Sus scrofa: one gene and its partner. The protein of the gene in region 2 interacts with the protein of the main gene of each other region in a biochemical or structural test. Links are inferred from orthologs where the notes say so. Each region holds a gene or a part of one and is shown on either strand. Other genes may lie near its edges.

Evidence for each region. The genes of interacting proteins can lie anywhere in the genome.
Region 1: the proteins of SEMA4D (region 2) and CD72 form a complex in vitro, tested with the Homo sapiens proteins (2 studies listed by BioGRID and IntAct). The link is inferred for Sus scrofa from reciprocal best matches to the Homo sapiens genes SEMA4D and CD72.

What each region holds. Positions count from the first base shown.
Region 1 is NC_010443.5:236,350,618-236,354,333, forward strand, and holds the start of CD72 (B-cell differentiation antigen CD72), read right to left. Parts: upstream 2,812-3,716; coding exon 2,730-2,811; intron 2,635-2,729; coding exon 2,527-2,634; intron 1,910-2,526; coding exon 1,838-1,909; intron 1,337-1,837; coding exon 1,256-1,336; intron 927-1,255; coding exon 591-926; intron 1-590. UniProt on the Homo sapiens protein: Co-receptor of B cell receptor (BCR) that plays both positive and negative roles on B-cell functions. Recognizes the Sm/ribonucleoprotein (RNP) self-antigen ligand, and coligation of CD72 and BCR inhibits BCR signaling.
Region 2 is NC_010456.5:967,700-970,568, forward strand, and holds the end of SEMA4D (semaphorin-4D), read right to left. Parts: coding exon 2,020-2,869; 3' UTR 600-2,019; downstream 1-599. UniProt on the Homo sapiens protein: Cell surface receptor for PLXNB1 and PLXNB2 that plays an important role in cell-cell signaling. Regulates GABAergic synapse development. Promotes the development of inhibitory synapses in a PLXNB1-dependent manner.

The DNA of each region.
Region 1 (3,716 bases), on a different chromosome or scaffold from region 2:
CGCTCAGTGGGTTAAGGATGCGGCATTGCCATGACCTATGGAGTAGGTCGCAGATGCGGCTGGCGTTGCTGTGGCTCTGGTATAGGCTGGCAGCTGTAGCTTCGATTAGACCCCTAGCCGCCCTAGCCCGGGAACCTCCATATGCCATGGGTGTGGCCCTAAAAAGCAAAAAAAAAAAAAAAAGAAAGAAAGAAAGCTATAGAGCCTGTCTTTAGAAAAAACATGCAAACAACCAATTGCACAACCATATTCAGGTGTGCCCAGATCCTTGATGCTGATGTCAAGCCAGATGAGCCCTGACTTTGCTGCTCTGGACAGTGTCATTTTGCATTGCTGGCTGCCACCCTCCTCTCCTCCACAGGATCCTCCTTTGACAGGATCCTCCTTTGAGCTAGGTGAGTCCCCCTAAATCCTTATCCAGCTAGATCCTTCTCCCCGTTGGCCAAGGCAAGTATTCCGGTTCACTACCCCTTTCCTGAACAACTCAATGGTCCCCTAATAGATGGACAGACCCCTGTCACAAGTGTCTCCTCACTTCGATCCATTGCTCACAGCAGACCCTCCCATCTCTTCTCTCTCAGAGCACATACCTGGTGAGGAGCATGTAAAGAAGGGCTTCAGTGTGTCCTGCATACTTCTCAGCCTCCGCTCCAAGTTTATCCTCTGTACCTCCTTGTTTTTCAAGGCTTCATCTGTCGTCTTCCTGTCCAACTGGCAGGCCTGCAACTCCTCTCTGGTAGTCTGGCAAATCTTCTGTTCCATTTGTAGTGTTTCCTTACTTTGAGCCAGCTCCTTCCTGGACCCCTGCAAATCTTCTTCCCTCTGCCCCAGCTGGGTTATCTTTAGGCGCAGCTGCTGCCTCAGGGTGCTGTTAGTGGCTTCCAGAACCCTGCTCATCTGCTGGAGCTGCCGAGACACCTGCAGATCTGTTTGGCCATAAAGAAAAATTTGAAGGACATCTTCAGCCATGCTCTGATGCCCTGAGACTTCAGCGTCAGCCCTTTTTCTGTTTCTTGGCAATTTTTCTGCCTAACAGGCTGGACTATAAGATCTGACTGCCTAAAGCTTAAGGAGGTACTGGATTAGTTAAAGACAATTTAGAAAGACACAGTGCTCTGAAGCAGACCTGGCTGGAAGCCAGAGGAAAGGCTGAGGATGTGGTAGTGGTAACTCGGGGCGCTGGGGAGGAAGGGCAACTGTGGGGGAGCAGGTTGTCTGGGGCATGTGGGAAATGGGGGGTAGTCGCCATACTCACAGCGCATTCCCAGGCAGATGGCGGCCACCCCTAACAGCAGGCAGGTGAGGAGCAGGCCCAGAAGGAAGTACCGAGCGCAGCCTGCAGGGAGACAGTGGAATGGGGGTTCATGAACCCCAGGAAAGTTAACAGACTGAGGGGGTGGGAGTGTGGGAGATTCATGGGAAGGAACATCCCACAGAGGACTTGGAGCACGCATGGTGGTTTCTGTCCCGCAGAGTTTCTGCAGGTAGCGGAGGGAAGGTGTTCCAGAAGTAGGGCTGGGCATTGTTACTGGTAAGGACTGACTGAGGCGCACTACCTGGTAGGACCTGGAACTAAATGTCAGATGGAGACCGGGGAGAGGGCGAAGAAGGGAATGCGGACCAGAGTAAGGTCAGTCCCTGGCCAGACCTGCACACCTCCGAGCGGAGCACTACCACCCATGGGAGCGGGCGCTCGCACGTGACTCCCGCGACCACCCTCGCGGACCCTGGAGGGGGAGCGGCGGGGAAAGGCGCCCAGCACGAGGTCCCGCGCGCGGCCCCGCCGGGCGGAGGGCGGAGGGCGGCGCGCGCGTGGCGAGGAGCGTGCGTTACTCACGCGGGAGAATCCGCCTGGCAGCTGGTGACGTCGAGGAGCTCCAGGCGGCCGTTGGCTGCTCAGTCTGCGCCCCTGCGGAAGGGAGCGGTCCCAGGTTGAAGACAGGAAGGCCGGGGAAAAGCCCCTTCTCCCTCCCCGACCCCCCTCACCGCGGCGAGATCCCAGTCGGTCCTAAGGTGCCTTCTGCCACTGCTCCGGGACACCCTTAGCGGTGCCCGGGGTCCCCGGAGTTCCTCTTCTCCCCTGGGACTGTCGTGTTCCTCCTGGGTCTTACCTTGTTCTTCCCGGGGGACCCTCTGTCGCCCTCCTGGGTCTCCCTTTATCTTTTCCTCAGGGGCCCCTCATTTGCCTGCCCCAAACCCTCTCCCCAGGAGTGCACTCACCCTTCTCCCCTCCCCTCCCTTCTCTCTCCCGGGACCCCCCATTTCTCATTGGAGCGCAGCTCCCCACAGGGCTGCCCTGGTCCTTCGTCAAAGCCCTAGCTCCCCACTGGGATCCCCCACACACACACCCTCGGAGCTTCATCCTTCCCTGGCCCCCATAAGTGGTGTTCACTCTCTTCCTGAGAACACCTCTCCTCTCCAAGGGTATTGTCCTCCCAAGAATGCTGAGGACGCCCCAGCTCAAGACACAGCACCACCCCCACCACCCCACCCCAGGCAGACACACATCCCCTGGGCTCTCCAGACCTGTGTTGTTCCCTAATCCAGAAGGAGCCAAGATCGAGGGCCCCCCTGGGCCTGGGGGCACTTGAACATTCTCATAGGTGAGTTCTCCATCTTCATCAGCCTCTGGGTCTGGAGAGGAGAGAAAAGGTGGGATCTGGGTGTGGAAGGAGGGGCAGGAAGGAGGTTGGAGATGCAGCATCAAGGCGACATTCATCCACCCTTACCCTGTCCTAGGCGGCTGGAGACGCTCTTCTTCAGGGGAGCCTTCACAAACCGCAGGTCTGCGTAGGTGATGGCCTCAGCCATGATCCTGGGGACCTCTGCTCCCACCTGTCTCCCCCCTCTTCCACGGGCTCCAGGCTTTCCTTGCCACTTTCCCCTCTGTCCCTTCACACTTTTAGGTTCTGTGTTCCCTCTGTGACTACACACAGCTTAGTGCTTTGCCTTGTGACTTACAGTCACAAAAGAGGAAGATATGAGCTGGTCTCAGACAGATGGGTTCAGTGAAGCAAACGGGACCCCTGATCCCCAGTTAGAGGGGCAGGGGAGGGGAAATTGAGGTCCAGAGCATGGGGTTTGGGGTTGTGAGGTGTCACAGAAACATTACTGAGGCTCATTCCTGTGTCCTGCCTGTGCTCCCCTTTCATGCATCCCAGACCCACTTTGGCAGAGCTGGGCTTCAAACACCCACCCTCATCCTCTCCCTTGATTTGCCCCACATTCCTCACCTCACTTCCCAGTCCGGAGGCTTTCTGTGTGTAGTCAGAGCTTTTTTGTGCTGAGCTGTCTATGGAGTATCTCCCCAGTCATTGCTTCTCGGGAGGAAGGGGGGTGTCCTAGCAATGGGGTTCATCCTGGCGTTCCCCGCAGGTGTGGGTTCCCAGAAAAGGGTCCCTGATTTGGTGGGACTTTTCTCTCCGTCAGTTTGGGGGTTGGGGGGATGGGCCCAGCTCCCCTCCTGCTGTAGTCCTAGACAGCTGCCAAGAATCCCACATACAGGGAAGTTCTCGATCCAAAGCTCTTCCTGGGAATGTGGCAATCCTTGGGAGGATGCAGAAAATCTGGGACCAAACTGATTCTCTTATGTAAACACCCCTCGACTCTCTACTCTCGCTTCGCAGCCTTTCCCCCTCCACCCTTTTTGCCCTACTGACAGTCAGCCCCTTCCTCGTTCCATCCTACCCTCTGGCCACTCATGGAAACCTCTGTGT
Region 2 (2,869 bases):
GCTACAAGGGAAGCACTGAGTAGTTGCAACAGAAACTGGGACACATGGAACCTCAAAGAGTTCAGTCCTTCGTGGAAAACGCTGCTCAGGCCCCGGCATCCACACGAATAGCCTTAGTATGACTAAGTTTAGTGTCGCTGGGGGTCACTGGGGGGGTGCAGCCAGGAAGGCCGGGCTCGAGGAGGAAGCCCCGCCCCGCCCCGCCCCCCCACCTGGGCGGTGCCCCGCTCACCTGTGGCCTGGCAGAAGAGGTGGAAGGTCCCCAGGGCATGCACGTGCTGGGCCTGGTCGCCGAGGAAGGGCGGCAGCAAGGTGACCTGCCGGTGGCTGTCAGGCCCCGGGCCCAAGGCCGGCCAGGGGCTTCGGGGGGAGGAAGATGAATCGGGGCCCAGACAGGAGAGGGAAGAGGACCCCGGAGGGGGTAAGGGCAGAGAAGATGAGGCTGCGAGACAGAGGACAGAAAAGAGAGAGGGCTCTAAGGCAGAGTCACCAGGAACACACCACATGCATGAGCCTGAGAGCCAAGCACAGGGACGCAGGGCCCCCCACCCAGACTACAGGGAGGGGGCAGGAGAGCCGCAGGGAACCACACGCCCGCGTCAAGGATATAAGATTCTCGTTTATTTGGTTACTTTCCAAATGTATACAATTCAAAGTAGAAAAATAAAAACAAAGTAAATCTTATAAAACACAAGTGTTTACACCAAAACAGTCGAATCCTATCATGCTGGAAGATGACACGGTCCACACAGGCACACACAAATTAAGAGTTTATTGCTCTTTGCCACGGAAAGAAAGGCTCCCCTTGCAGGCGTCTGGAGAGCAGGAAGTGGAGTGTGACACTGATGGTGCTAAGACTGTGCCACCCCACTGGCATCTTAAAAGACAGCGCCGGGCCAGGCAGGTCTGCGGTGGCGGCTTCTGCAGGAGGTGCGCTGGTCACCGGCCTGGCCGTCCAGGGCTGCCCAGCTCTCTTCCAGTTGTGGACAGCTGTTAGGCTAAGCGGAGAGTCTGGGCGGGCAGAGGGCATGAGATGGAAGCAAAAAGAAAACGGAGATGTTCAGACGACCAAGACACCCGCAGAAAACACTGTCTGTCTGGACAGGAGGTTTGGACCAGTGGCCGTGGGCGTCGGATTGTAACATGCTCCTCCTCTCAGTTCCCTGGGCCAGCCCGGTTTCGCCCAGAGCACGCTGGGCCCCTCTTCCTCCCTCAAAGTCCCGCCCCGTGTCCTGGGACCGTCCTCCACAGCCTTCTCTTCAAAAGAGTTAAAACAAGAGTGAAAAGGTACAGAAAGAAAATCTCTCCGAAAATGATGCTTCCCTCAAGGAATAAAATTAAACAAAACCAAACCAAACCAAAAAACACCCCCCCAAAACATGTGTGCCCAAGAAATGGTTTTGTCTAGTCTCTAAAAGCAGAAAAGAACACATCTAGCAAAGTAAGTTTATCCCTGAGAATCTTAAGCAACATAAGCCATGTCTTCCCCTAATGTACAACAAAATCCAGAAGATGGACATCTTCTAAATATTAAAACATCTGCTTTAGTAATTTAAAAAATAAAGGACCTAACACACCCACATAATGAAAGCAAAATATTAAAAAATAATGTCGTGGAAGAAAAGTTCGTGCCAACCTGGACAACAGGTGATAAGTTACCAATCTGATAAACTAAAAGGTCATTTCCAATCTGGAATTAAATTATCTTTCAGTGGCTGCTGTGAGGGGGGGATGCTCAGGACCCCCTCTTCCCAGGCCAGTGGCAGCCCCGCCATCCTTCCGCCTCAGAGTGTGCTCGGCCGAGCCTGAGGACACAGCTCCAAGCGCTCTGACCCACCGGGGAGGCCGGGCGCGATGGGATGCTCGCTGTTTTCCGAGGGACAAAGAGAAACCAAGTCACAAGCGCGACCCAAGAGGAAAGACACAAGACTGAGGTTTGCTGACAACAGCTACGTAGGCGGCACTGGACAGGGTCACAGAACTGGCGACACAAAGACCTCCCTGCGCGCGGCGGGTGCCTCAGTCCCCGTCCGCGTCTGCGTCCGAGTCAGCGAACTTGAGCTCGCACTTGACGTCGAACGGCCGGTCCCTGACTGGGAGCTCGTCGATCCTCTGCGAGTCCTCCCTGTCGGTGGGCAGCCTGCTGGCCATGGTGTCCTGCTCCGTCTCGTAGCCCGTGTCCAGCGCCGGCTTGGGCTGCCCCCCGTTCTGCTGGGAGAAACTGCCCTGCTCCACCAGCGTCTCCTTGACGCTCTGCTCGCAGTCTGAGAAGTCCGCCGTGGGCTTCTTCTTCCCCAGCAGCACGGCCGAGCGGAATTTTAAGCACTGTCCGGGCAGGTAGCCCTTATAGCAGTTGTAGGAGAAGAGGCAGAGGAAGACGACGAAGAAGAAGAGGAAGAGGAACATGAGGAGGCGGTTGTCGCCAGACTTGAGATACATCGTCTTCTCCGAGTGGACCTGGGGGACGGTGTTGATGACAATCTTTGGCTCACAGGACGTGCTGGTGGGCGCCTCGGGGCTGGAAGGGGGGGCGATGGCCCCAGGGGTGGTGACCCTCACGGCTGGGGTCTGCGGAGGGGAGCTTTGGGTGAACCCCACTGATACTCTGGAGGTGATCTTACGACCCTCTGTCTGTGTGGCTGGCGAGGTGGAAGCGGCCAGGGTCCGGGGGACCGTCCTGACCTCCAGCACGTGCTTGGCCACCACCTGCAAGACTGTCTTGTTCTTGACCCTCTCCTCCGACAGGCAGAGGTACACCCCACTGTCTCCTTCCGACAGGTTGAAGATGAGCAGGTTCTTCCTGCCCACCAGGCTGTACTTGGGGCTCTCGGCCTTGAGCACGCCATTCTGGAACTTCCACACCACCCGG